Diceros bicornis minor: one gene and its partners. The protein of the gene in region 1 interacts with the protein of each later gene in a pairwise test. Links are inferred from orthologs where the notes say so. Each region holds a gene or a part of one and is shown on either strand. Other genes may lie near its edges.

Region 1 (7,712 bases):
CTGGCTGCAGGGTGGAGAAGGATCAGAAGTTCCAGCGCTCTCTGAAAATGTGAGAAGAGGAGGACAGGGTCCTTGGCTGTGCCAGAGGTCTTCCTTTTGGCCCTCCAGATCCAATTGTTCCAGGCCCCAGGTCTGAGCTCCTGTCAGAGGGCCCTCTCCATACAGCCCTGTCCCAGCTCCGATAACCACTCATTCCCTCTCCCCTGCAGGCCCAGGGGTGGGCACAGAGTCCCCATGGTGCTGCACAATCCCTTGTAGTTTCTTTACACCCTGCCCACATATTTGTAAACAAGCTCGTTCTTAAAAACTCCTCGCATGATCCTAATTTGAGTGTGCCAGCTGTTTCCTGCTGGGACTCTCATGGTTACACCCTCTCCCCCAAATAAGGAGAAAGCAAGCATAAGTGACATGAGGAGAGGATAGAGCTGTCTTCCTAGGGATTATAGCTTGAGAAGTTTGCTGCTTAGGAAAGATAACCGACTTACTGAGGTAGTGGTTGTCTTTTAATAGCTCTACTGTTTTGGTGAGAATGATGCTGCTCACTTAAAAAGAAAAGAAAAAGGAAAATCATTGGAAATTCCACCTCCCAGAGACAAATGCTATTAACATTTTTTTGCTGAATATCCTTCTACACATATATACTCGTACAGATATGTTCAATTTTATAGGAATGAATCATACTCCAAATGCTGTGTCAGACCTACTTTTTCTCATTCATCCATAAGCCTTGAGTTTCGAATTGCCTGTGGAATAGTCCAAGTAGACGTGTCCAGAAATAAATGGAATATAACAATCTAGAGTGCAAGAAATTCAGTCTTGGGGTCCCCGTCAGAGAGATGGGCATGACAGCCTTGGGAAGCGGAGGATCCCACTGGGCAGAGGGTGCACAGGGAAAAGGTGAGGGCCACCACAGAGCCCCTGGAACTCAAACCCTGACAGGGCAAGAGGAACCAGAGGAAGCAGAGAAGGAGCAGCTAAGGAGGTAGGAAGAAAACAGGAGAGCTCATGGCCTTCGAGAAAGACAAGGGTCAACAGTAAAGAAGGCACCTGCCAGATTTAGCAAAAAGGAGGTAGCTGGAGGCCTGGGTAAGAGTGATTTTAGTCAAGTGGTAGAGTGGAGGCCCAACTGTAAAAGAGCTAAGGAGAGAATGGACGTCGTCTGCTTGCCCTCCCCACTTGTTATCCCCCTCCACCCTCATCAGAGCTTTCCAAACCCTGATGTGTGCATGAATCACCTGGGCATATTGTTACAATGCACATCTGAGTTAGTAGGCCCGGGGTGGACTCCCTGATGATGTGAATACCACTAGAGCAAACTCGAAGTAGCGAAGGGCTAGATTGGGCGGCCTAGTGACAAGGCCCAGTCTCAATAAGCTCACACAAGGCTTTACCAAAGACACTCAAGCGTGCAGAGATGAAATGAATTCTTAGAGTCCTAGATTATTATTCACATCAGAAAGGTACTAGGGCCGGCCCAGTGGCGCAAGCAGTTATGTGGGCGTGCCCCGCTTAGGCAGCCTAGGGTTCGCAGGTTCGGATCCCTGGCATGCACCGAGGCACTGCTTGTCAAACCATGCTGTAGCGCTGTCCCATATAAAGTAGAGGAAGATGGGCACGGATGTTAGCTCAGAGCCAACCTTCCTCAGCAAAAAAAAAAAAGAGGAGGATTGGCCTCAGATGTTAGCTCAGGGCTGATCTTCCCTCCCCAAAAAAAAAAATTGAAAAAAAAAAAAGAAATGTACTAAAAAGGAAAACTAGAAGACATTTCTGTTCTCATATGTCTAGTTCTTTCCTGCATATATGCCTTGTTTATGAAAGTCTCTCCATTTAGGTTGCTTAAAAGTGTTTCTTAAGTTCCAAACTTATGAGGATTTTCTAATCATCTTTTAGTTATTATTTCTACTTTATTGCATTGGGTCCAAGAACTTGCTCTCTAAGATCACAGTCCTTTGAAATGTGTTGTTATTTGCTTTATGGCTCAGAACACAGCCAGTTTTCATAAACGTTCCATGAGTGCTTGAAAAGAACATAGTCTACAATTGTTGAGTGCACTGTTTTATGTCTTTTAGGTCAAATTTCTTTACTGGGTTGACAGGTCTTCATATTCTATCAATCACTAAAAACAAATGTGTTAAGATCTCCAGTCTCTCTTCCTGGAAAGCCTTTCCTCCTACCTCTGCCTGCTTGCACAGGCCTCCGCCCAACAACTGGAGATTCATAGTCACCAAAATCTGACCCAGTCTCTGCAGACTCAGTCCTTGCCCTGATGGCACTGACAGCCTAAGCAGACTCACCTGATCACCAACACCTCTCCACCCCACCTCAGACCTGGAATATTTCTCCCTCCTCTGAGCTCTTACAGCATTCACTGCCTGTATAGCTAATTTAACACTTAGATAGTCTGTCTTCATTGCAATTATTTGTGTTCATAATTTACTCCCCCATCAGGTTTTAGATTCTGGATGTGAAAAGATTATCCTAGTTTCTATAACTACTTTATTGAAATATAACTTTTTGTGTGTGTGTGTGAGGAAGATCAGCCCTGAGCTAACATCCATACTAATCCTCGTCTTTTTGCTGAGGAAGACTGGCTCTGAGCTAACATCTATTGCCAATCCTCCTCCTTTTTTCTGTTTTCCCCAAAGCCCCAGTAGATAGTTGTATGTCGTAGTTGCACAGCCTTCTAGTTCCTGTATGTGGGACGCGGCCTCAGCATGGCCGGAGAGGCGGTGCATCGGTGCGCGCCCGGGACCCGAACCCGGGCCACCAGTAGTGGAGCGCAAGCACTTAACCGCTAAGCCACGGGGCCGGCCCTGAAATATAACTATTAACAAACCATAAAACTCACTCCTGTAAAGTAGATGATTCAGTGGAAGACTATCTTATTTATCTTGGCATCCTCTGCAGCAATGGTTCTCTATGTATACGCACACTGGAATCACCTGCAGAGCTTTAAAAAAATACTGCTGCCTGGTTCTCACCCCAGAGGTTCTGACTTAATTGGTTTGGGGTGCAGCCTGGGCATTAGAATTTTTAAAAGCCCTGGAGTGATTTTAACTTGTAGCCAGGGTTGCCCTACAGTGATTTGCACACAACTGGCCCCCAATAATTGTTTGTTGTACTCGTGTTAGCCCTAACTTCTAACATCCAGCTAATTAACTCACCCAAGAGCTACCTTCCCCGTCTCCCATAGAGTACATCAGCTCTTATAACATAATGGTCTGCTTATACCTGTCTGCCTGACTCAGTGTGAAAGAAGCCTAGGAGACAAAAGCATTTAGAAAAGATAAGTTTACTTGCAAAGACATGTAGATTTCAGATTTCAAAGAGTGGATAAAAAATACAACTGATATTTAATGGAAAAAATGTAAAGGAAAGATTACTATGTTTACATTTGTCTCTTCACCACGGATGATATGCTCACATGGGGAGATATGTCACAAAGGTCGTGACATATCCCCAAATTTCTGTATCCAGAAGTCAGGGACAAAATGGTTTTCATTAGGGAATCAGTAATTTACAAGAAAAGCTCAAGATTTCATTCATTTTGGAGACCAAATGTAAAAGATTAGTTCAGCTACTTTGTTTATGTCAGGTCTGAAAGTGTCTTGTGATTGTTTTTTTGTGTGTGTGGGACTTGTACATTCTTAACACGGTGGCAGGGCAGTCTCATTTTTGTTTACACAGCTGCGAGCGCATGAAGGCAGGGACTGTTTCAGTCTTATACATTATGGCGTCCCCAAGCTGGCACATGTTAGGTGTTCAATAAATATTGGTGGAATGGATATGATCAACCCTCATGCCACAGTATTTAAATATGATTTTAACTGAATCGGAAGCTGCACAAGTATCCCACTTCGATATTTTTTGCAATTCTTAATTATGATACTCCGAACTGGGGCACTCCCTAAACTGCCTGGGCTACCACAAACTCAGAAGAGGCTTTTACTTCCACGTAAACCATTGTTAAGGGTTGGAGGTCTGTGAATTTACGAGCGTCACGTGAGCAGCAAGGATGGTCCCTCCCGATGAATGAATACAAGATTGTCGTGGCTGGCAGCGGTCCCTCAGCGAGGCGGTCATCCTGGCTGTCCTGTAACACCACTTAATACATTGACACCTCCCTACAGCTAGATCCCAAGGGTCCCAGGGGGCATCCAGAGCCGCGCCACTGACCTCCACAGCGGGATGCCCCCGCTGGCGGGTTACGCCCCAAGGCGCAATACAGAGACTCAGGCATCAAGAAGACAAAGTAAAACCAGTCGCAGCAAAGAGAGGCAACGTTATTTAGGCAGCCGGCTATTCCTCCAGAGCCTCCACCCTGTCCCCTGGGCCCGGCCCACAGCGCTCAAACAGTGCCCGGCTCCAGGAGCCCCAGCTCGCTCCACGTGTCCTGTCTTCCCAGCAGCCTCCTCTGCTGCCTCGGGAGGAAAGCCTCCTGACAACTCGCGGTCTGAGGACTACAACTCCCAGCAGGCACCGCGCCGCTTCTCTCTCCGCACCCCATCCCCCTCCACGGGACACGCAGGCGCTCTGGGCTCCGTCAACAAGCCCTGCTGGCGTCGACTGGCCGCAGTTCCTTATGGGATTTGTAGTTTTTCTGGCGTTAGCTGGGCCGTCAGTCAAAAGGACAAGAACTACAAGTCTCGGCAGCCCCAGCGTGACGAGCCCGGTCACGTGGAGGGGGCCGACCGGGCGTGCGTGCCGCCGTTGATCCGGTGCTGCAGTGAGGAGGTGGTTCTCGCCCGTGTTGTGTGTGTGTGTGAGTGAGTGAGTGAGTGCGAGAGCGAGTGAGTGAGTGAGTGTGTGTGTGGGGGGACTCGGCTTGTTGTTGTCGGTGACTTCCCCCTCCCCTCCACCCCCCCTTCCCCGCCGTCGCTGCAGTGGCCGCTCCCTGGGCCGTAGGAAATGAGCGATAACGATGACATCGAGGTGGAGAGCGACGTGAGTCCTGGGGCTTCTTCCTTCCCGTGCGGGTTGTCAGGCGGGGACAGCGGCCGGGGCTCTCACCCGGGCGACGGCAGGAGGGGGTTGGGCAGCCGCCGCCTCCTTCCCCTTCCCCGCACCGGGACCGTCTCAGTCGCGCTCCCGGCTCGCTCCTCTCCGGGCTCCTGGCCGCAGCGGCCTTCTGGGACTGGAGGTGGGGAGGGGACACGCGGCCTCTGGGACCCCCAGTTCCCCCCGTGGAGGAGGGTGCTGCGGCCTCCCGCTCCCACCCTATCCCGCCCAAGATCCGGGGGACAGGGACGGGGTGCGCCCGAGATCCCATTGTCCGGATGTTGGGGAAAGGGACGGCGCTCAGGACCTGCTCCCTCAGTCCGCGATCCCCTCCTCCCGTGACCCGCGGATTCTGGGGGCTGAGGGAGGGCGGAGACGGGTTGGGAATGCCCAGATGCCCGGAGCTGGGTCCGAGGGTAGAAGACGTTGCTCTGGACTCCCTCCGGCCCGGGTCGGATCCCGGAAGGAGGGGCGGCGCTCGGGACCCCCCTGCCCTGCTACCGGATCCCGCTGGGGGGATGGGGGCGTGGGGTGGGGAGGGAAGGAGGGGGGGCCGGGCTGACTCCCCACCCGCCGCTTCCTTCGCCGCCGGCATTTTCTTTCTTATTATTCAATGTGAAGTGTAAAAATAACTTCTATATTTTCTATTTTTTTTCTCTCTTATTCCAGGAAGAGCAACCGAGGTTTCAATCTGCGGTACGTCTCCTACTCTCCATTTCATTTTCATTTCCGTTCAGTTCTAGTCCTTTTTGGGGTCAGAGAGAAAAAGAGATCGTTCTATTACTTTTAATATTGTAGTAAACTCTCCTGTTAACCGCTGAGGTGAGGTGGGGCCTTGTTTTGGGGTTCTAGGTGGGGGGAGCGGGTTTGCAAATCTCATAATTCTAGATTCTCAGGTGATAAGTTCCGGTGACTGGAGGTGAGGGAGAGGAGCTGTATGCAAAGAAATGAATCGTTCGGTAGTTTTCCGATGGGGGATCTAGCTGTCACTATATACGTAGGAAATGAGAAATAAAATTAAAGTAAATTGTAGTATTGTATTTCAGGGCAAAGTGGTCAGAAGATTTACTTTGGAACAAGTAGGTTCTAAACTATATCTGCATAGTTGTGTATATCTGCATAGAAGCTGAAGCCACATGCAATAATTATCTTGAACTAAAAATCATGTGACTGCTGTAGACCTATAGAATCTAGCACAACATGGTGGTGTTCTAATACAGAAACTGGCAATGTAGAGGAGCCAGAGGTTGAGTATGAAAGTGTTGCATACAGCTTATTGTGGTCTGACTATATTTGAGTTGAAGAAGTATAAAGAAAATAGAAGAATTGTTGAAGGAAAGTGGCATTGCGGAGATAAGTTTGCTAAAAGGTGATGGTTGAGACCATACAGTGTTATCAGTCATTTCTCAGGGTTTTAGTATTAATGTTCTCAGTAGATGGTTCTATGGATTTAGATAGACACTAATCTCATGTCTTTGGAGTCGGCGACAGTACTGTGGGTGTTCCGTGAATAGATTAGAGAAAGAAAAAAAGAATAGACGCAAAATCAGAATCAGAGAGAGGAAGAGAAATAAGTATATCAGAGTGTCTGATATTTGACAGATGGGAACAGTATGAAGTATATAGAATGGGGGTCAAAAATTCCAGTGCCTGTCGGGGGCCCAGGCAGCGAGATAGTCAGGAATCAAGTAGAGGGCAGAGGTGAGGACTAGGGTACTGGAGAGCACATGCCTTTTCTAAAAAGTCAACCACTGAACTCCAAGGGGTTGTTGTTATGTGGGAGTGAGGGCTCAGTGTTGCCAGATCTTCCTGTTTTTAAAGAAAGATTAGAAATCCAGATTTTTATGTTATATTTTTGATTTTTTAAATGATGTGTGGGATAATCAGGTTGCTTAGGGGCCTGTTAGAATTTGCAGGATGCCACATTGATACCTCTAGTCTAAGAATTTAATTACCACAGGGTAAAAACAAGCCCTCTTACTTGTACCTGCTCTTCATTAGAGCAAGCAAAGATTCTGCAGGTTGTCCAAGCAGAGAGGCATTAAGAAAGATGTTATTTATTGAGAGCTGATGTTTCCATAAAATCCAAGGATCCATTTGTTCCAGGGGTCTTAAAAATTACCCCTGGGTAGTAGTCACTAAAAATATTTTGTTTTATTTCTCCTTGAAATATCATCAGATACTTATATTTAGTTTAGACATGTATTTGAAAATTCAATTCCTTTTTTTCAGTTACTATTATCCTTAATAATGTGAACATAGAGTTTCACGTTTGGGACTCAGTCTATTTAAAACATTTTTTTCCTCCAAGTTTCTAGTTATAAAATCTGCCCCAGGGCTTGATCAGGGTTGGAGGATAGGGATTGGTTAGACTTCTGTTGCAGAATCATTTGAATTGGAATTACCTTGGCTTTCCAGTGAGAGAAAAGTTTTCTTTGTGAAATTTTGGTTTACGGTACTTGAAAGCTTTCTGCTTCTCAAAATAGCCATCTGCATGGGTGTTGATGTAAATTGCTTTATTAAATTATTAAAATGTTCACACTCTCCTAGGATGCTAATCTCATTGTTTTGTATAGATATTTTTAGTTTGGTGTTAAGGTGCCTAGGATTTTTCCCTTTGATTTTGGGGATGGGCAAAGAGAGTGGGTTTGATCCTTTGTTTTTAATTTGACGTCTACTTGCTGAGACTTGTAAATATTATCTGGCACAAGATG
Region 2 (7,604 bases), on another chromosome or scaffold:
CATTCATAACTTTTTGTCCTGTAAAAAATTTTTAAAAGAAAATTTAATTGTTTTGCTTTTGGACATTTCTGGCTATAAGAAATTCATTTAATTTACAATTATCTGCATTTTCCAGGGGTCATTGAGTATAGTGGGAAAATTTTGTAAAGTGAGAAAAAAAATCTGTCCTACAAATTGTTCACAAATATAATGAACTGTTTTCTTATTATTTTTTTTTAAGATCAGCCCTGAGCTAACATCCATGTCAACCCTCCTCTTTTTTTTTTTTTTTCTGAGGAAGACTGGCCCTGAGCTAACATCTATTGCCAATCCTCCTCTTTTTTTTCCCTTACTGGCGAACCCTGGGCTGCCAGTAGCAGAGCGCGCGCACTTAACTGCTAAGCCACGGGTCTGGCCCCGTTTTCTTATTTTAAATTTAAAAATAACATTGACATTATGTTAGGTTATGCAGACATTTAATTACATCTTCATGCATCTTGGTTTTGCTGTCTTGTTACTGTGTTCTGGAGGTAATTTTTTCCTGACTGGTAAACTTTGAAGGCCCCCAAATGCTCCGAGGCCTGGCCTGGTGCCCGTGGCTGGCTACCTTGGGCAGCTACCACGGCACCCTAGGTTTGATCGTGACTGGGCAGGCCCTGCCCCATTTCCCTGTGTGTAGGGCCAAGGATTAATATTCCTGCCACTTCCTGGGCATCCCTTTGTGCCCAGCCCACTGCTGCCCAGGGCTTTCCATGCATCCTTCATTGTACCCCACAACCACCCCAGAGGCAGGTACTGTAAATTTCCTTTTGTAGCTGGGGAAACCAGCTAAGAGATTAAGTGACTTGGCCAAGGTCTTGTGGCTAGACTAGAATCTAGGGCAGCTTTGAGGGAGGGACCCAGTGACAGAAGCCCCCCAGGATCTCCCCGGGTCCTGGACACACCAGCCATCTTGGTGCAGGGGAGCCAACACTTCTAGGAGGCTGGTTGCAATGCTGGGCTCTCCAGCGCCCGATGACCCCCGGCCAGGCTCTGTCCCTAGGCTCCCCAGACCCAGACCCTGCCTGCAGGGAGCTGTCTAAACCTGCCACCCCCCCAGGGTCTGAGGAGATGCAGGCTGTGGGAGGATTCCAGCCGACCCAAGTGGGCAGGGCAGCCCCTTGGTCTCAGCCTCCTGCCCAGAGTGCTGGGCTGGGGACCTGGGTGGCAGCGGGGAGTCCACCCCAGTGACTGAGGAGACAAGAGAGGAGGTGGGGCCAGGGCCGGTCATCCTGGAAGCGTGAGAAGGAGGCTCTGGAGGAGGAAGGGCCTCTCAGACCTTCCCACCTGGGTGGGGGTGCTTCCTAATGCTGTGCTGAGAGCCAGAGACATGTTCCCAAATCAGTATATGTGGCGGTGATGGGGATCCTGGGTCCAGAGAAAGGGAACCAGGGCCTGGTGAGTGTGGGGGAGACCAGGAATCAGTCTTCTAGAGGTTTCTTTCCCTCAGGTCTCCTTAGGGCCTTGAATACTCTCACATGATCCCGGGGGTGGGGAATAAACCAGTCTTTCCCAAGCTTTGGGACCAGAAATCCTCATGCCATACTCCAAATGCCCCCAGAGATGAGGTGGGTCCTACCATTCTCATTTGTAGCTAGGGGAGTGAAGCTGGGGTGGGGATGGGGGGGAATCCCACGAAGCCCAGGCAGACCTGTACTTCCACCCAAATTGGGAAGTTCCTTCTAGATTCACGCCTGCCCCTCTTCCCAGAGCCCCTAGCTGGGAGCTCTGGGGTGGGCTGGGCTCCCTCAAAGGGCAGTGAGGGAGAACAATCCAGGAGGATGGGCAGCGAGGGGAATGTGGGCTGGTCCAGGAGGAATGCATGGTGGAGGGCCCAAGGCGGCATAGGTGTGTGGGAAAGGGTTCAGGAGTAGGGGCAGGGGAGGTCCACAGCCCCCTCTTGGGCTCTACATGGAGATAAGGGTAGGCTGCCTGGGCTCCCAGAGGGAGGAGGCCTGAGATGTCTGCCTCTTCCCTCCTGGGCATGGACCTTGCTGGTTGCCGCTCCGACGGGTCCCTGCACTGGAGAAGGGGCAGGAAGGGCTGGGCAGGTGTGGGAGAGGGGGCTAGATGAGGAGGCAGCTGGCCTACCCTGGGCTCAGGGAAGGCTCCCTGGAGGAGGTGATACAGCCCCACCAGAGACCTGCCCTACAGAAGTGGGTCTAGGGGTGGCACCGTGCCAGCATCCTCAGGCTCTGGGCCAGCCAGTCCAGACCCAGGGGGCATCAGGCCCCAGGACCACTGTAGTGCCTATGCACCCACCTGGGGTGGCATGGTGAGGCCTGTGGGTGTGCAGACTTGGCTGGCCCCAAGAGACACCAACACCCACCCCCCTTACGGCCTTCCCCGCTAGCTCCCCTAACTCATGGCTTAGCGTCCTCCGGGATCTCCCCTGGGGGCTCTGCCCCTGCCTGCCCGCCAACAGGCCCAGAAAAAGGTCGGCTTGAGTACCCGCCCCACCCCGCCTGCCGCTCCCTCTCTCCTCTCCTCTCCCCGCCACCCCCCACGCCATCCGGCCCACGCGGCGCCTATCTGTGTCCGCGCCAGACCCCGCCCTCCTGCCAGCCCCTCGCTCACGCCGTCGACCCGGCCCACCACACTCACAGGCAGTGTGGAGACCCGCGGGCACCAGAGCATCTGGGTGTGGCTGGGGGAGGGGTCCCCAAAATGCCGTAGATGTAGATGGAGGTAGGGTGGGGGACCAGCCCATCTCATCTCAGGCTGGTAGGCAGCACGCTCGGGGCTCCCGCAGTCACACCTGGGCACCTGCACCACCTGCTGTGGCACAGAGTGCACCTCATGCCCCATGGCAGGAAGGAAGGTGGGCATCTGGCAGGTGCCCACTAGGCAAGGTGTAGGCTGGCTTTAGGATTGGGGTCAGCAGTCCACCCCTCACGTAAGCAGGGATGGAGTAACCCTGCAAAATGCTGATGCCCTGATGGTGAGCCTGGGATCCTGCCTCCCATAGCCCAGAATGCACCCGGCCCTCCTCAGAGCTGGGCGCCTGCTTTTACCCTGCACAGCTCTGTGCAGCCTTCCAGACTAACCTGGAGGGCCACAGCACCCAGCTCTTGTTACAGGCTCTGCCCTGGCCCTGGGGTGACTGTGGGGCAGGAGCAGGAATATTCCTAAACCCGTTGCTCAGATCACAGAAGTCATGTTGGGCCAGGAGATGGCTTGGTCTCCACGGTCCTGTGTCACCAGCCCTGGGTCGCGTGTATGGGTGCACTAATCATTCCGCTAGGATTTCCGGGAGACCCTGGTGAATCCCTAAACCTCAGGATTCCCAGTTTCCTTTTCTGTAAATTGGGGATGCGGAAACACACGAGGAAATACATATAAAGCTTCCAATAGGTCCTAGGACTGAAAGTGCTGAGGTTTTTATAGTTCTTGTTCTGTTTTGTTGGCAGCAGCAGCGACCCCCGCCCCCTTCAGAATTTCTGTCGGGGGTCCAGCCACCCTATCTCCCACACTCTCCAGCCTGCTGGTCCCCTCCTCAGGAGCTCCACTAGGGCCACCCGCCAGCTTGATGAGGAGCTCTCTCCCCCTCACGGAGGCAACTCCCTTCCCTAGAAAGCACTTCCTTGGCCAGCGCCTGTCCCACCCTTCAGACCAGACACGAGCACGCAGCCCCCAACTCATGGGAGCCCCTCCCGACCGTGGCGACAGACCTTTGACCCCCTTCTCTAGGCCGAGGGCTCCTCCTTCGGCCCTGGGGTCCACCGCAGCTCTGAGGGACCCCTCCCTCTCTGGGCCTGTTTTCTCATTGAGATCCTCAAGGAGACCTGGTTCTTAGGCTCAGACCGTCCAGCCCCCTCCTCCAAGCCCCGGCCTTTCCTGGGGTCACTGTAGGTCCGGCAGGGAGGGTGTCGTTTTGCAGCCCCACGCGAGACCCCGAGGAAACCGCGAGGCCCGGTGTTCCCGCGGAGCCAGTGTTGCATAGGGACCGGGGGCCACAGGTTCCTGCGCACACTGTGTAGCCCCGGCAAACCGCGGGGCGCACGAGACGCTCCCCGCGCCCTAACCGGCCCCGGCGAGGGCGACGGGCAGTGCCCCCGCGCTCGCTTCCTCTCGGCAACGCGTCCAGCCGCTGCGCCCTCATTGGCCGCGCGCCCCGCTGCCGGCCATTGGTCCGCAGGCCCTATTTTACATAGACCGTTCTGGGCCAATCGGCGCCCGGCGCCTACTTAACATGCACGCCGGCCGCCAGTCAGCGCGCGCGGGGGCCGGGCCACCACGTGCTGTTGCTAAGCTTGGGCTTCTAAATTGTTACTACAGCGGCGGCCTATCGGAACCGAGCTTAGCATCTGTCAACATTCTCGGCCAGGCCCGAGGCGTTCGGCCGGCTCCCATTGGCCCGGGTCCGCCCCAGCGCCCGCCCCCGGAGCCGCAACGCCGGCCCCCATTGGCTGCGCCGGCCGCCGCTCGCCCTTATGTGTCAATTTGAGGGCCCGAGGCGGAGGGTGGCGGCCCAGCGCTCAGCGAGTCCGCGGGAGTCGGGGAAGTGGCCGCCGGGTGCGCGGGGCGGGCGGCGAGCGGAGCCGGCCGGAGGGGGCCGGGCAGCGGCCGCCGCCGTCCCGGAGCGCGTGGGCGGGCGCGGGCGGGCGGGAGGATGGAGCTGAATTCCCTGCTGATCCTGCTGGAGGCGGCCGAGTACCTGGAGCGCAGGGACCGAGGTAGCGCCCGCGCCCCTTTGTGCGCCGGGCCGCGGGCTGGCGGGCGGCGGCGGGGCCGGGGCCAGGGCGGGGGCCTGCTGACCGCGCCGTCTGTCCGCAGAGGCCGAGCACGGCTACGCCTCGGTGCTGCCCTTCGACGGCGACTTCGCCAGGAAGAAAACAAAGGCGGCCGGCCTGCTGCGCAAGGCCCCGAACAACAGGTACCGCCCCCCGCGCAGCCGTCCCCCACCCCACCGCCGGTCCGGGGCCCGGGCTCACCCCTCGGGAGCGCCCTCCCCCGGCCCCGACCCCCGTCCCGCAGCCCGGCCACCGCCGCGCGCCCCGGCGGCCAGCCTGGAGGAGGAGGCGCGCCGGGCCGCGGCCGCAACCCCGCCCGGCCGGCCCCGCCCGCGCCGTCGCCATCTTCCCGCGGCCGCGCCTCCTCGGCCTCTCGCGTAAACAGTGCCACGCGTACAGCGCCCGCCGCCCGGGGTCTCCTCCCGCAGCCGCTCCCCGCCCGCAAGTTGTTCTCGACTTCTCCGGGCAGGAAAAAAGTTGTCAGTGGGCGCTGGCCGGTGCCCCGTAGATCCGGGGAAACTGAGGCTCCGTGCAGAGCAGCGTGGGGCTGTCAGCCCTGACCTCTGCTCGCCGCGGGTGGGTGGGCCGCATCTCTCCGACTGTCTCCAAGGGCCGAGCCTGCTGTTGGGCTGAGTCCCCACACCGCCAGGCGCCTGGACAAAGAAGGCTCATGGAGGCCCTGCCCTGGGCCCCCAGCCCTCCCGTGGTGCGCACCACTCCTGCCCAGCCTTTTGACACAAGTGAAACTCCAGCCACAAGTGTAGGGGTCACCTTCTTTGGGACAAGAGGCCCTTTTTAAGCGGGCCGGAAGAGGGGGCAGGCTGCCATGCAGCAGCCCCTCCTGGTGCCAGTAATCTCCCCCTCCTTGTACCCAGGCTGCAGAAGCCCTGCAGCTGGGATGCACTTCCCTGGGTGGGGAGTGGGGACCCTCAGCTAGGGCTTCCGTGGGTTCCACTCTCCTGGCTGCCATGAGGACTGCAGCACACCTGGCACTGACCAGGGGCCCACTTTGGCCCCCGACCATGTCACCAGGCTGGAAGCTGTGCTTGCAGGGGGCTTCCGGGCCCCTTGGCAGAGGGTGCGGCTCATTCCTGTGGCCTGCCCGTTCTTGGGAAACAGAAAGGCTGGCACAAGGACCAATCTCCTGTGACGTCCTGGCGCCCTGGGCCTGGCAAAGGATTGGTTGAGTCTCCATCTGCCCTGGCTGGACATGTCTCTGAGTCCCAGCCCCTGGTCCCCTGCTGGGGACAGTTTGGGAAAGGACATGCGTGGGGGGGGGGGGGTACCACGGCCTCAGGCCTCCTCAGTGAGCTAGCCAGGCCCCTCCTGTTGGGTCTTGCTGTCCCCAGTGCCCAGCTACCCATGGAAAACTCTGGGACGTGACCTTGGACTTGCATGGTAGGGGGTCCCCAATGCTTATCACCAGAATTGTAGTTAGGGCTCTCCAGGTGCTTCTTATGTACTGTGTTTCATGCACATGCTGATTAATATTTACCCAAGCCCATGAAGGAGATGTTATTTTTATCTCCATTTTGGGGCTGAGGAAACTGAGGCATAGAGAGATTGAACTACTTGTCCGGGGCCACCCTCTCGCCTCTGGGACTCCTGTTCTGAGGTGGGGTGCTGGCCTTCTGCATTCTACTGGGATGGAGACCTTGAGGGCGCCGGGAGGGACCGAGAGGGTCTCACGGGCTCCGGTGCACCTCCCTGCTGGTTCCTCTGGGCAGAACCTGACCCCCCCAGTGCCTGAGGCACTCCAGGGCTCACAGGGATGGCTCCTCGAGGCTGTCCTGGCCCGGAGGATCGGGGCTCTGACTTGGCAGGGCAGCCCCACACCTGCAAGGCTTCTGTGTTCCAGCACAGCTGGGGCCAGGGTGCAGGGTGGGTAGTGGGGCAGGAGGGCAACGTTTGTGGGGGGACAGCGGCCCCATTGGTTGCCAGGCCTTTAGGAAGGACTATTCAGGGGCAGTGGTTCAGCAGGAGGGGCCTGGAGCCAGCCTGCTGGGGATCAGGTCCTACAGGGAAGTGGGCAGATGTCGAGGGGTTGAAGTGAGGACCAAGCGAGGTGATGCCAGGAACGCGCTTAGTATAGCCCCAGGCGGGCTGTCCCACCTCTCCGCCTCTCCTCCGGCCACCATGTGAAGCATGGCCCGGGACAGGGTGCTCCTGGGACCTGTGAGGAATCTCCCCGCAAGGTTCCTGCGGGTATCTGGACCTGGGAGGAGTCCCAGGAGGGACTCTGGGCCCCTCTCCGTCCCCTGGCTGTCCCTCTTCCTCCAGGACGAGGTCCAGCGCAGCCTGCGAGGGGGCGGGCGGGCTTCTCTGTATTAAAGGGCACTCACTGACCCTTACTTTCTTCACAAGTGAGCAGACCTACAGACCCACACCGCAAGGCTGAGGTTCAGACCAGCAAGAAGCCCGATGGCTGTGTCCCCTCCTGGCCTTAGCCAGCCCTGGCAGAGGTTCTGAGGCTCCTTGCCCAGCCCATGTGACCAGCAAACCCTCGAGGTCCCTGGAACCTGTGGGGCTGGAGGCTCTCCTGAGGCTGCACGGGGAGGCCCAGGGAGCTGGCTGCCCCAGTGGGAGGAGGGGAGGCCTTGGGTCCCAGTTGGCTATGGTGGAGCCACGAGCCATGGCAGGTGGCAGAGGCAAGCAGGATAGGCACGCACTCTGGCCTGAGGGGTGGGGACGGGAGACATCTAGTCCTGAGTTCCTGGAGCAGGAGAGAGTGAGGGCAGGCAGGCAGAGATCAGCAGAAGTGCCAGGAAGGAGTGAGAGGTAGAGGGCACAGGGCTCCATCTGGGTGTGCTCTGAGGTGGCTTGGGCTCTCTGCTCATGTGTGAGGCAGCCTGG
Region 3 (7,032 bases), on another chromosome or scaffold:
AGGCTGTGCCAGGAGCCAGCAGGAGAGGCAGTCCCACAGTGCTCCTTGTTCTTGCCCTTCTGCTTGTGTCGTAAGTCCCTAAACCTCTACTTCTGGGCTTTCCTTGGAGCCACTCCTCCCTTTTAATAGAGGAAGACAAGATGAAGGCTCCCAAAGAGACAAGGAGCCCTGAGCCACCTCCTCAGCTCATTGCCAGACGATCCCTTTCCAAAGGGAAAGGTGCCCAGGAAAAACTTGGCTAGGAAAGCTCTGGGGATTAGGATGCAAGTGACAATGGAGTGGACAGAAGATCTCTTGATGGTGTTTACCAAGCCTGAGTACAAACCACAGGTAAAAGAGCAGGGAAAAACCTGACCCAGCCGTGCCGGCAAGGTCCAAGGAAAAGCTAGATGTTACAGTGGTGGTGGACTTAGGCAGAAAGGGCTAGTGAGGGGAGAATGAATAACTGGGAAGAGCCAGGTTAGGGAGCCCAGGAGAGCCAAAATGGTCCAGGACTACAGGGAAGGGCATCCCATCGCATGCCGATGCAGGATGGGGAGATCTGGGGGAAACTCTCCTATCTCTGTCTCAGTAATTAACCAGCCTCTGTGCACCTGAAGCCATAATTATAGGCAAAACAACTCCTTTGATGTAAGAGTGTAGAATGTCTGGGGGGAAAGAGGGGCAAATAAAAGAGAGTGATCTTGCTTTAGTATGCAAACAAGATTGATGGAGAAACATTACCAAACAGGCAAATAGGCCAAACAAAGAAACAGATGATTGGGATAACAAGACTCAGGCTGAGCAGACACCCCAGATCTCTTGGGCCTTTGAGAGCATCGTGGCTGGCCTTGTTGGGCATTGCAAAAAGTCACTGCTTTTTTTCCAAAGAGTTCACATGTTCTTATCAGGCTGGCTGCCTTCTCATCCCCTACCTGTTCTCTGCAGAAATTCTCAGCAAGTTTCCAAAGAGGCCTGTTTATTTATGGAGTCAAAGCCCCGGAGAAAGTGAGGTGCAAAGGGTTTGAATGGCTCCTCCTGGGAAGCAAATCTAATCGGGAATGGAGCTGAGCTTGTAACCCAGCATCCTGGATGCCTGTCCCATGATATAACCTCTGAAACACAACTCTTTCTGTTGGGGCCAACTTTATTAGAGAAATCTGTTAATTGGGGGATGGTGGGGGAGGAGGGAGAAAGCAATATGATGCTAACATGATTTAACACTTGATGGGATCAGAAAAAAAAGAAGGGGATTTGAGCTTTAGCTTGGCACATTTGTTGTTCCACATATATGTTACCAAAATGAATATATGCAACTATACCATACGCGAGACTCTGGGGCACCATAGCACAGACTTTGCAAAACAAAAAGACATTTCTCCTGCCTCCACTGTGTTTTTTGTGGTGCCATTGTCTGATGCTAAGAACTCACATAATAACAAAAAACAATGCCCCTATGATGGGGGGAAAACTTGATTTGGCACTGGCAGTGGTGTTTTCCATGGGAATGATGGTGGGGGCTGTGGCTGACTGTGGGAATAGTGCAAATCAGCACTTTTTTGTAGATTTTTCTTCAAGTCATTGTTTATTTTGGCTTTGGTCAGACCCGTGGCCCAGCTTGAAGATTCCCACTGGGCTTTCTGCAGCTCACAGACCTATGAGAGATGCAACAGGGATAAATAAATAATTACAAAACACCCTACCCTTGCCCCTCTCTCATATGTGGGCTGTGCCTGTCTCAGTGGGTATGGATATACATACATGTAGGTCATAGTACTGCATATATGCATATTTGGCCCATGCTTCCATGGAGGAATTAAAGAGAGACCAAGGTTTCCTCCAAGATTAGTTGGTTCATGGTCTCAGTATCATCTTACTTTTGGGGCAAGGGAGGCCATGGCTGTTTCACATAAGCGCCAGTTTTTTGCAAAATGAAGTTGGATAAAACTTGTTTGAAACTGTACCTTCCTAAAGTCCTTAGATGTTTATAGACTTTTAAACATGAATAAGTCAGGTTGAGGTTCCAACAGGAACAAAAAATCAGTAGTTGTTCTGATATTAGAAGGTGAACTTTTATCTCATAGCTCTTAGGAGCTTCTACTCTGCCTTAGCCAAAGGATGCAGAGATCAACCAATCAAAATTTGTCACAAGACGGAAAATGAGCAGAGAGTATGTATAGTATGAATGTATAGTATGATTATATTATGGTTCAAAATGTGAATATATGGGGCCAGCCCGGTGGTGTAATAGCTAAGTTTGCGCTCTCCGCTTCAGCGGCCTGGGGTTGCCAGGCCCGGATACCGGGTGCGGGCCTACACACTGCTTATCAAGGCATGCTGTGGCAGGCATCCCACATATAAAGTGGAGGAAGATGGGCACAGACGTTAGCCCAGGGCCAATCTTCCTCAGCAAAAAGAGGAGAATTGGCAACAGATGTTAGCTCAGGGCTAATCTTCCTCACCAAAAAAAAAAAAAAGTGAATACATTTAAAATGCCCATTACTGATTTTTCCTGTCATATCAGCAGCAGATTATTATATTCTAAAAGTACGCAAGACTGTGTTGAAGGCTCTGTAAGGGTGTGTGCACTGTAAGTTTTACATAGTGAGTGTTTTACAAAGAAATGTACTTTCTCTCCTTTTTTCAAAAAGTTTCCATTTCCAGTAAGAATCTTCCTGACAAATGTGTATAAAGCTGCCTCTGAACAGGGTGGCTGGGTCGCACAACTCCAGGGGGCAGCATTCATTGTGTCTTCTATGTAAATGGTTCCTCTGGAGGAAAACTCCGAGTGGCCTCGCAAGGTGACAATATTTACATGGGTGTGTTGCAGAGATGTTTTCCAATGAAGTGCAGGAGATTCTTGTTTCCTGTAGCTTGTTCTTCCCTTAGATGCAAGTAGGGTACCCAGGCTCTTGTCTGGGTCTAGATTGGAAGAAAAAGGTCTTATTATGGGCTAGGCAGTGTGCTAACGGCAGATATGGTTTAATCAGCACAAGAATCCTTATCAGAGGTTTCACTCATGGGGAAACTTAGGCCAACAGAGGTTAGGCGACGTGCCCAAGCTCACATAGTCTGCATGCATCAGAGCTGGGACTTGAACCCTTCTCGATGGCACTCTTCAAAGACCCTCAACTATCCCCCTGACTCCCACCACAGGTCCCAGGCCTGGAAAGCTCCCATGGTTCCTGCGGACCCTGACTGGGTGACAGTAGCAGCAGTGAATACAATGTCAACTGGGGTAAGGGTCTTCAGAGCCAAAAGGTGGAGTTCAGGGAGGTGGAGGGGATCCTGGGCTGCCACTCTGCCTCGCTATCAAATAAAAGGGAGGCAAGGTGTGGAGGCACCCTAGTGTGAGCTTTGCACAGCTGGACCAAGGCTGGGAAGAGGAGTGTGGAGAGAGATGCTTACATCTCCTCCCCCTTCCTGGAAAATACCTTTGCATTTGAAGGGAGAAAGAAAGAGTGAGTAAATCTGTAACCGGGATTTGGCGGCCTGGGGATTTCATTGGGTCCATTGAAAGGCCGGTGCCTCACTCTGGTGCCTCTGTGAGGGTGTGTATGTGTGTGTGTGCGCGGGCGCGCGCGCGCAGGAGTGTGTGTACTGGGCGGAGGGAACTTCAGGTTACATGTGATTTTTTTTTTTGGATTAAATTTTTAAATTTAGGCTTTTATTTTTATTTTAAATTTTAAATGTAGGCTTTTATTTTTTTAAAAAGTCATAGCAGCTACCGTTTATTGTGGACTTACTGTGTGCCAGGCATTGTGCTGACTGCTTTATGAGGAATTATTTTTATGTGAAGAAAAAAAGAGCTTAGTAGTTTGTTTTTATGCAGGTGCACTCAGAGGCATGGAGTATTTTTTCCATTATGCTTAAAATACAGTGCTCTGCACTGTGGTAAGATTTGGGGGGAGGCGGGGAAGGGTGCGGGGACGGGCAGGGGGCGGTCCCTGCCTCGCTTGTCTCCACCTTTTATTTTGACCGGTCGGATGGCGACAGGCTCGCACTAGGACCCAGGCGTCAGAGCGCCTCCGTCGGTCCTGTAGGTTCATTCAATCTCCCATACACACAGACCCACTGCGAGACCGACACACACTCACACACACTCAAACACACAACTGCACGCAGCGAGGCTCGGGAAGTCAGGTCGCCTGCTCGCCTCGGCGCCTCCTCCGCTGCGGCCAGCCGCTCTCCCCTGGGGCCCTGAGCTCGGCCGGGCGGCGCAGCCCCAGAAGAGGACGAGCTCCGCGGACCCCCGTCCCCCCATGGGCAAACGCGGGCGGCCGCGCAAGGAGGCGCGCTGCGAGCGCGCGGGGCTGGCCCCCGCCGCGCCCCCGGCCGTGGCCGCGCCCCAGCCCCCGGCCCCGGCCGAGGAGCCCGCGGGGGCCAAGCTCAGGTGCCCCTTCTCGGACATTTTCAACACCAGCGAGAACTCGATGGAGAAGCACATCAACACTTTTCTGCAGAACGTGCAGATCCTGCTCGAGGCCGCCAGCTACCTGGAGCAGATCGAGAAAGAAAACAAAAGTAAGTTTGTTCCTCCTCGGCGCCCTGCTCTTTCTTCCTCGCCCACTTGGGCGACCCCTGTCGCCTGCTCGGCCCGCGCCCCCCTCCCCCCAACACACCCATCCAGCCCTCGGCAGTAAAGCCGATGACACCGGAGAAAGGACACGCACGCACAAAGCTGCTAAAGATGTAACAAAGACGAGAGGGGGGAAGAGGGGGGCCTGTCGGTGCGTCCGTCTGTCTGTCTCCCGGAGGCTGGGAGGACAGCCTGGCCGAGGAGCGGGGGAGTGTTGTTGTTTGCTGACAACTGAGCCGAGAGCTCATCTCTTCGAGGTCGCCTTTCTTCCTTTTTTTTTTTTTTCCGGAGCCTTCTCGGGCAGACAAGTGTTGTTTTTCTGTCGCTCGTTCCTGGGTGGGGTGGGGATTAGAAGCCGAAAGTTGGAAACCGTAGGCAGAGCTCAGCGGTTCCAGAAAGAAAACGCACAGACACACACGACAACAATAACAACCACCACCACCACCACCAAACAGCCCTCCGGCGTGGGCTCGGGCTGGCTCGACTATGTTTCTCTCTCCTGTCCACTTTGCTTTTTCCTCCCCTCTCGCAGCAGAACTGGGCTCAGGCCATCGCGTCCACGGATAAAGTCCCCCTGCGCCTCTGTTGCCCTGTGGTGCCACCGGCTCCCCCTCCCCCAGCCCCACCAAAGAAACAGGCCGGCAGGGCCAAGCAGCGCCAGCAGCTCGCCCCGGACCCGCCGTCCTGCGCCCGGGAAACTTGGCGAGGGGGACGCGGCTGGAAGGAAACTTTGGGATCTCGCAGGAAACAATAGTTGGGGAAGAAGGTGTGGGCTGTTGTGTATGGTTTCTTTATTTTCCGCGAGAAGGCTCCCGAGTAAGCGCTCAGGGCGAGGAAGGCAGACGCCTTCCTGGTCGATTTCTGTCGCCTGCTCCCCCACCCACCCCGATTCAGGTGGAGAGTGATGCGTTGTGTGTATGTGTATGTTGGGGTGTGGGGGTGCTGGGAGCCCCACCCCGGCCTGCCCTCCTTTTTGTATTTGTTTGTTTCATTTTTGCCCCTGCCAGCTGGGTCCCCTAGTCCTCCCCAGGCAGTCGACTCAGCGCCCTAACGGGGGCACGCGTGTGCGGTGTCTCCAGCACGGTCCTCACAAATAATAGCAATAATAGCTGCGAGAAGGGGGAAGGGGCCGAGGCAGATAGACTAACAAACTGGAGAAAACAAGGCTGTTTAATCTGTCCGAACAAGTAGGAAGATCAATGAGACGAGAGAGGAAAAAAATGGTCCGATTGCAACGTGTCAGATCTTGCAACCTCCTCTGCCCCAAAACACAACAACCCTCCAACACAAAAACACCTTAGCTGACCGACACCCCAGGCCTCCAGGGTTAAAGTAACAGAGTGTTGGCAGCGCAATTGTGCAGAAGCTCTAAGGCAAAAACAAGGATTTGTGTTGGGAGGTCGGTGGCGCGTTCTTTTCTTTCTCTTCTCTCCCGTTTGCTCGGAGTGCCTGGGTTACGAGAAAGGCGCATCGCCAGCCATGTAGCCGAATCAGTTCGCGATTATTCATGGGGGTGGGGGAGGGGGGGAAGTGTGCATTGGTCGGGAGGGTAGTTTCTGAAAAGCCAGAGACGGTGGGGAGCTGGGTGAAAACATGGTTTTGTTTGGTGTGTTTGCTTTTGTTGGAGGGGGAGGGGCGCGATTTCTGTAGCTAACCCCCGCCCGGGTCACCGGTTCTCCGGAGTCTGTCCCTTGGCGCCGGGTCTGGAGGGGGGTGCACTCAAAGAGGGCACCTTGGCAGTGTGTGGCAAACCTGGTGTACCCTCCCCCCCCCGCGCGAGGTGTACTAAGGAGGCGGCTGGAGCTTCCACCGCGTCCCGCCCCCCCTTCGCACCCTCAGACAATCGGAGACCTCCCTCCGCCCCCGGCCGCCCTGGCCGCCGCCACCTCCTTGTTTACCCCGTGCCGGGGCTCCGGCGTGGCCACCAGTCACGTAAGCAGAGGGCCGGGCGCGCCGGGCCGGGCTGTCCCCGCACGGGGCGGGCCAGCGACGCCAAGCCCGGCTCCCGAGGCTGAGGAAGCCAAGGGGCTTCCTCCCGGTTCCTCTCCCGCGGCGTCCGCGCTGCCAGCCCGCCAGCCCCCGAGAGGGGCTCGGGAACCTCAGCGCCCCAGTCAAAGTCAACTTCGTGTGCGTAATCGACCCCACGGCCCCGCTGCCCCCCCCTCCGGCCGGCTCCCCGCGGGAGTATTTTTAGCTCTCTTGCCTCTTTTCGCCGCCGCTGTTTGGCTCTGCATGACGTGATGCCAACGGCCCCCAGATTTCCCCGAGAGCGTGGGGCGCTGCGCCGTGCCCAGCTTGGCTGCGGGGACCTCGCTCCAGGCCCTCGCCCCCTCCCCAACTGCTCACGCGGGCGAGGTCACTTCCAACAACCAGGGGCGACCATCCACGGGGCCCTCTATTATCCCCCCTACAAACAGGAGCGGCCCACGGGGCTACTGTATCCTCCCCACTCTCGCCACCCCACGCCCCCGCCC
Region 4 (7,004 bases), on another chromosome or scaffold:
AAAGAGGGATTTTTCACAATGCTAAAAGAATTAAGTCATTAAGAAGATATAACAATCATAAATGTATATGCACCCAATAATAGAGTTTCATAATATATAAAGTAAAATGTGACAGAACCGAAGAGATAAATAGGATAATTCCACAATTACAGTTGGAGATTTTAACACTTGTCTCCCAGTAACTGATACAAGTAGACAAAAAAAATCAGTAAGGATATAAAAATTTTTTTTACAACACAATCAACCAACTTAATCCAACTGACATTTTAAGAACACTACACATAACAACTAGAGGATGTGTTTATTTACATGTGCTTATGGAACATTCATCAAGATAGATCATAAACTGGACCATACAAGCCTTGATAAATTTCAAATGGTCAAAATCATAAGAGTATATTCCCTGACCACAACAGAATTAAATTACAAACCAATAACAAAAAGATATCCAGAAAATTCCCAAATATTTGGAAACTAAAGAACACACTTCAACTTATCCATAGGTCTCAGATCAAAGAAAAAATCAGAAGGGAATTTGAAAATATCTCTTTCTAAATGAAAAACAAAACAAAACCATAACACATCACAGTTTGCGGGATGCAGTTAAAGCAATGTGCAGAAAAGAAGAAGGGAATAAAATGAATTATCTACATACTCACCTTATGCAGCTGGGAATAAAGGAGCAAATTAAATCCAAAGTTGGTTCTTTGAAAAGATTAATAAAATTGATAAACTCCTAGCAAGACTTATCAAGGAGAGAGAGAGACAGAGACAGAGAGAAACAAACCACTTATATCAGGAATAAAAAAAAAGACATACTACAGGTCCTACAGAGGCCTCTCCCGGGTGGCCCCACCCAGGGTAACTGGGACTGTCAGCCACTTCTGAGACGTAGTCTAGCCAGGCCTGCCTCATGGTCTATTCCCCTGCAATATCAAGTGAGGGACCAGCTGGCCCCCCCCGACTCTGTCAATCATTGTGCCGTGTTGCCCCTGACAGCCTGGGGGTGGCATTCCAGCAGTGGCCTCCAACTTGGGGGTCTGCTGACTGCTACACCACCAGCCTCCTGTGGGCCTGGAGACCCAGGCACACCAAAGCCCCCACCCCCTCCCCATGGCTCAGCCAAGCCTCTTTCTCAGCACTGGCTTCCTCTGTCATGCGGTCATAGTCAGGTGGAAGAGGCTGACCCTGAGGGACACAGCTGCACCGCTGTTTTGGGAGGATGCCCTAAAGGAGGGAGGCCCTGGAGAAAGTGATATTTAAGCCAAGATGGCAGAGGCAGGGAGATGGGTAAGGGCATGGCATGTCACCGGCCGTGGCAAAAGGAGGGGCGCAGCCTAGCTTGAACTTTGTCCTGAGGGCAAGGGGAGCCCAGGTGGGGCTCTCGGCAGGGATGTGACCTGGTTAGCTCCGTGACTCAGGAGTGCTACTCTCTGGGAAGACAGGAGGCTGAGTGAAGGGGAGAGCTTGGGGGCAGGGAGCCCAGGAAGAGGGCTGGGCAGGAGTCAAGGATCTGAGCCAGGCCCCAGCTCCAATACTGCCCCACCTCCCCCCTTCCCTCCGACTGCCATTGTCACCTGTAAGGAAGAAGGTGAAAGGGGGGACAGGTTCTGGCGGGACAGCAGAACCCATCTCCTGCATCCTCTCCATAGGGCGGGAGAAGATGGTGAGCCTGGGGCTGGGGCCCCTGCAGTCCCCTTCCCGCCTCTCACCCAGGGCACAGATGTAGGCTCTGTCCCTTGGAGCTCAGAGGACACTACTGCCCGACAGAAATTGCACTGAAGCGCAGGCAGCATAGCCACATTACTTTGGGCAGGCCAGGCTGAGGGCTGGGGAGCCCACAGGGCTCCAGGGTTCAGGCTGGACCTGGGAGTCTGGGACAGAGGTTCTAAGACCAGTCACTGCTGAGGGGGCAGGAGCACCCAGGTCCTCTGCTCAGTCCTTCTCCAGTTGCCACTAGCACTAGCATTTCCTCAAAGGTGCCCAGAGGGGCATCCAAGGGCTTGGGGCAGGAACCCCCCTCTCCCTATTCACCCTGCTCCCTGGGAGGTATTGTTTCCTGTCCTCCTGGCCAGTGGCCCTGACCTATATTCATGGGGGCCCGAGGCCAAGCTGACTTTGGCCTCCATGTTGTTCCCTAGCTCGAATCTTACCTGAGGCTCCTAAGATGAGGTGGTCACTCCAGCCCCCCTTCAGCACCTGCCTCACTTCCATAACCTCCAGTCCCTTACTCTGCTGGGAACTCTCCTCCTTCAGAATCCCTCCCCCTGATCCTACTCCCACCCCAAGGCCAGGCCACTTAGGTCCCAGATGTCTGACCAGAAGGTTTGTGTCTGCACTGTGTGGGGGCTGACTTTAGTGAAATAAAATTGGAAATTCATTCACAAGCCTTGTGATTCCTTCCTTCAGACATAACTGTTTGGGGGTGAGGGTTTGGGGAACCCATCAGCCTGTTCTGGACCCTGCCAGCCTCTCCAGCATCAGTCTGCACCACACTCTTTGTTCTCTCTGTGCTAGCCACCTTGGCCTTCTTTCAGTCTGCATATATTCCTTTCAGCCTCAGGGCCTTTGCACCTGCTCTTTCTGTGTCTGGAATTCTTGTACATCCCTCCTATATAGGTAACACCTATTCATCCATTTCCCCAGAAAAACCTTTTCTGACCTCCCTGATTAGGTCAAATGCTCCTTAGGATATGCACTCACCTTGTGTCTTTTCCTGTGAAGACCTGTCAAAGCTGCAACTCTATTGTGTGATTACTATTTCCGTGTCTCTCCTCACCTGCAAGCTCCACAAAGGTAGGAAACCTGTCTGCTTTTGCCCATTGTTTTATTCTCTGTACTCCAGCACAGTCCCTGGGGTCCAGTAAGTGCTCAGCAAATCTTTCATGAGTGAATGGTTAGGTGAATGGGTGGATGGTCCTGGGCAGCAGTTCTTGGCTGAGCATGTCAGTGATTCCTCTGGGATTGACTCTTAGAGAAACCTCAAGGTTCTTTGCAAGAAACTGAGGGCTAACTGTCGTGTGCCGTGTGTTTACCCAGCACTGTCTCTATAAAGGATCTAGTCCCTCCTTCTCCCTCCTCTCCATTTCCCAGTCACAGACTCAGCCCCAGCCTGGCAGTAATGCTCACCCTATAACAGCTGCTTTTATCTTCCTGTCTCCACCCTTAGACTATCACTGTCCCCGCAGGTGTGGCCACACCTGCTGGCGCTGCCCCTAGAAGTCACTGCAGCTACTCCTTCGGGAGGCTCGAAAGTCACGTTAAGGAAGGGCTCGTGGACTCTAAGGCAACCAGGGGCTCTGTGGGAGGATGTCTGCGTCTGGTCGTACCGGCCTGAGAGATGAGCAGCTCCTACGTCCTGGGCAGGGCATAGGCCTGGGTTCCGATCCTTCTACAACGCTGTCGCAGCTTCTCCAGTTTACAGGAGGGAGATCACTTCCCAAGTCACACGGCTGAGAGCAGCGGTGACAGGAGAGGAACCCGACTCTGTTGACTCCAGAACCCAGGTCTCTCTAGCCAGCCAGTTTGCGTGCTTCCAGGGTACGGATGGCTTGGGGAGCTGGTCCCCTACTGCCGTTTTCGAACAATAGCTTCCCTGCAGATGAGGAGGAGGAGGCAGGAGACTATTCCCATTCGCCACAACAGGAAGCTGAGGCCCAGCGGGGGCCTTCGGGGGCAGATGGCAGGCAGGCGAGGGGACAGACCCCGGAGCGCGAGCCGGACCCGCGCCCCCCTCCCCCAGCGCCTGCGCACTGCGGCCACGTTCCCCGCTCAACCCCGCCCCCACCGCCCAGGTTTTCAAATTTGAAACCTGCTCCTTTTCCCGCCCGAACGTGTTGACCAGCAGCGGGAGAGGGCGGGGCCGCGCGCAGCCAGTAGTGCCTCAGAGGCTGCCTGGCCCCGCCCCGAGGGTGACGACAGCGAGCCGCAGGCGGCAGCGGGCAAATGGGCTAGGGCGCCCGCCCGCTCCGCCCCCGCGGGGCCCACGTGCAGCGCCGGAGCCAGGGGCCTCCCAGGGACCGGGGGACCCCAAAGCACCACTCTTGTACCCTGCCCTCCCCATCCGTACGGGGCTGGGAACTGAGGCCCAGAGACTCCAAGAAACCAGCACGGGGTCGCTGAGCAGAGAGGGCAAGACGCAGCACCAGCCAGCCCAGGGGTTCACCCAAGGGCCAGGCCTGGAGCCGGCGCCCGTCCCAGTCCCGCAGGAGTCCGAGGGGACGAGCCGGAAGGCTCGCGGAGGGTGGGCTGCGGTTCCCCGGCGTATTCCAGAGGGGCGGGGCTCAGAGCTGGGCCGTCCCGGGGGCGGGGCGCCCTGGGGGCGGGGCCGGGCGCTTGTGTTTGTTGCACCGTGTCAGTTACATTGTAACAAAAGTGGTGCAGCCGCTCCTCCCGCCAGCACCCCAGGCCCGCCCGGCGCCAGCTGTCGCCGACATGGAACCCGTGGCTAGCAACATCCAGGTCCTGCTGCAGGCGGCCGAGTTCCTGGAGCGCCGCGAGAGAGGTGAGGAAGAACCCTTGGCTGGACTCCAGGCGGCGACCTCACTGACACCGGCCTGGGCTGGACTTGGATCCCAACTTGAAGGATGCATGGCCTTAGGGGTCTCCACTCGAGAGGGGTCCGCGGGCAGTCGGCCTGGGAGGGGTTGGGGAAATGGCCCTCGCGCCAAAAGCCCCTCCCTGACCGCGCTGTGCCAGGGGCGCCCGCTGGGATCAGCCCCAGCCTGACGCGGGCGGGGGCTCTCTCTGGCAGAGGCGGAGCATGGCTACGCGTCCCTGTGCCCGCACCGCAGTCCGGGCCCCGTCCACAGGAGGAGGAAGCGACCCTCCCAAGCTCCTGGCGCTCTGGACAGTGGGCGGTGAGGAGGGCTGGGGGCGGCGGGGAGTAGGGGGGATGGGCGCCGTCTCTCATCAGGCCCCTCCTCTGCCCACTTCCTCCTTGTTGCTTACATCTTCTAGGCCAGGTACCCTGCTCTGGAGGCATTCAGACCCCTCCTGCCATCTCCCCACCCTCTAAACACACGCTTTTCCATTCCTTCAAGGACTATTTCTTGATGTGTCAGGAACTGTGAGCAAGACAGTTCTGGGTCCCGCCTCTATTCACCCCTACACTCCACATAAACCACTTGCTTTCCCCCACAGGTTTCCAATCCTTTTCGCTCCTCGTCTCAGCCTTTTTTGCACATGCTGTTCCCCGCAATTTGAATGCCTCTTCCTCCACTACCTGCTTTGAGTAACTTGTGTTGCTGGGCACAGCTCAACTGTCACCTCTGTCCAGGAATTCCTTCCTGACTGCTGGTGGGGGCCCTCATTTGGACCCCAGAGCCACCTGGGCAGGACTCTCTCAGTATTTGGCCCCCTGTGTGTCTCTGCCTCTGCCTGGGGACTCAGGTGACCAAGGCCAGCACAAGGTCCCCACACTGGGCTAGTTGAGACAGACATCTGTGGTGGATTTTGAGCCCCTGGAAACCCTGGGACTGAGGGTGTGGGTAGTAGCTAACGCCCCCTCACCGCATCCTCCCTGGCATTGGCAGGTCTGTGCACAACGAACTGGAGAAGCGCAGGTGAGTCCCAGCCCTGCCCTGACAGCACCAGGTCCCAGGAACTGCCTCCCTCTGACCTTCCCTTCCCTGCTGTCCCTCTGGCCAGCAAGGCAGGGCTGGCACTGCCCTCCAGACCCCTTCCTCTGCAGGAGGGCCCAGCTGAAGCGGTGCCTGGAGCAGCTGAAGCAGCAGATGCCCCTGGGGGCTGACTGTGCCCGCTACACCACGCTGAGCCTTCTGCGCCGTGCCAGGATGCACATCCAGGTAAGGAGCTGACCCTGCATCCTGCGGCCAGCTTGCCAGGACGGTGACGCGTAGAAGTAGGGAGGGGCTGGGTGGAACTGGGGAGAGAGGCTTGAGGTCACAGCCCAACTGGGTGACATGGGACAGTTCTATATGCTTTTGGTTTCCAAATTTGTTAAATAGGAAGAAAAGCAGAAAATAATTCAGAGGATTGTTCTGAGGCTTAAGTGAGTTCACCCAATAAGCATTCACTGTTGTTATTACAGCTCTTGTTACTTCCATCCCAACTGTGAGACCCTGGGCCAGTCACTTAGCCTCTCGGGACTTCACTTCCTCTTCTGTGTGGGGGGCATGGCTGTTGAAAAGATTCTGTGATGGGTCATGTGTGAGGGTCCCTCTGACTGCAGAGGGCTGGTCCTTGCTCTACCTCTCCCCCATCCTTCAAGGCCTCCTGTTCTGGGTGATCTGTTCTGGTGCCACTTTGGGAGGCAGCTCCAGTGGCCAGGAGGGGAAAGGACTGAGAGGATGCCAGTCACCTGTCCTCGCAGGACCCTTGCCCTGCCTGGGCTGATCTCAGCGACCCCTGGTGGACAGGGGTGGGGTGTGCTGACTCAAGCCCCGGCAGTCCCAGCGTGGGGACTAGAAGCGCCTTGGGACCAATACAGGCCTTTTCCTGCCCTCCTGGCCCTTTTGACAGAGGGACAAACGGGGGCACATCCGGGCTAACGACCAGGTACTACAGCTGAGGAGAGGCAGATTCAGAACGCAGGCCCAGGTCTCCTGACTTGCATTCTTTCCTTCAACAAGTATTTATTGAGCACCCGCTCTGCCAGTACCAGGACCGTGGCAGAGACAGATCCACGTACCACGCAGCAAATAAATCAGGTGTGGGAACTGTCCCACTGCCCGATGGGTGCCTGCATTCCCCTCATTGTGGCTGAATGAAACCCTGGCCGGGTGGCGGGCCCCAGTTTCTCACGTGGAGCTTGCCTGGCCTGGTTCTTGGAGGATGAGATGCCCCTCAGGTGCTGGCTGGCCCGTGGGCAGGACCTGGGGATTACTCCTTCCTTGAAGCCCCATCACCCCTCTCCTGGACTCCCTGCTTCCTGTTTTGCCTATACCAGGCTGTCCTCCACCTTGCCCCAGAATATTCTTTGCAGCACAAGATCTGTGCAGGTCTGTCTCCTGCTGAAAACCTTCCATGGCTCCTGACAGGAC

What was found. The genes of interacting proteins can lie anywhere in the genome.
Region 2: the proteins of MAX (region 1) and MXD4 interact in a two-hybrid assay, tested with the Homo sapiens proteins (2 studies listed by BioGRID). The link is inferred for Diceros bicornis minor from reciprocal best matches to the Homo sapiens genes MAX and MXD4.
Region 3: the proteins of MAX (region 1) and MXI1 interact in binary tests that used the Homo sapiens proteins (3 or more experiments, as listed by UniProt). The link is inferred for Diceros bicornis minor from reciprocal best matches to the Homo sapiens genes MAX and MXI1.
Region 4: the proteins of MAX (region 1) and MXD3 interact in a two-hybrid assay, tested with the Homo sapiens proteins (4 studies listed by BioGRID). The link is inferred for Diceros bicornis minor from reciprocal best matches to the Homo sapiens genes MAX and MXD3.

The regions. Positions count from the first base shown.
Region 1 is NC_080763.1:14,073,593-14,081,304, reverse strand, and holds the start of MAX (protein max), read left to right. Parts: upstream 1-4,706; 5' UTR 4,707-4,908; coding exon 4,909-4,944; intron 4,945-5,667; coding exon 5,668-5,694; intron 5,695-7,712. UniProt on the Homo sapiens protein: Transcription regulator. Forms a sequence-specific DNA-binding protein complex with MYC or MAD which recognizes the core sequence 5'-CAC[GA]TG-3'. The MYC:MAX complex is a transcriptional activator, whereas the MAD:MAX complex is a repressor.
Region 2 is NC_080747.1:1,622,396-1,629,999, reverse strand, and holds the start of MXD4 (max dimerization protein 4), read left to right. Parts: upstream 1-4,587; 5' UTR 4,588-4,630; coding exon 4,631-4,694; intron 4,695-4,794; coding exon 4,795-4,894; intron 4,895-7,604. UniProt on the Homo sapiens protein: Transcriptional repressor. Binds with MAX to form a sequence-specific DNA-binding protein complex which recognizes the core sequence 5'-CAC[GA]TG-3'.
Region 3 is NC_080745.1:74,030,017-74,037,048, forward strand, and holds the start of MXI1 (max-interacting protein 1), read left to right. Parts: upstream 1-4,015; 5' UTR 4,016-4,241; coding exon 4,242-4,503; intron 4,504-7,032. UniProt on the Homo sapiens protein: Transcriptional repressor. MXI1 binds with MAX to form a sequence-specific DNA-binding protein complex which recognizes the core sequence 5'-CAC[GA]TG-3'. MXI1 thus antagonizes MYC transcriptional activity by competing for MAX.
Region 4 is NC_080740.1:90,522,445-90,529,448, reverse strand, and holds the start of MXD3 (max dimerization protein 3), read left to right. Parts: upstream 1-3,987; 5' UTR 3,988-4,434; coding exon 4,435-4,504; intron 4,505-4,753; coding exon 4,754-4,859; intron 4,860-5,534; coding exon 5,535-5,564; intron 5,565-5,692; coding exon 5,693-5,807; intron 5,808-7,004. UniProt on the Homo sapiens protein: Transcriptional repressor. Binds with MAX to form a sequence-specific DNA-binding protein complex which recognizes the core sequence 5'-CAC[GA]TG-3'.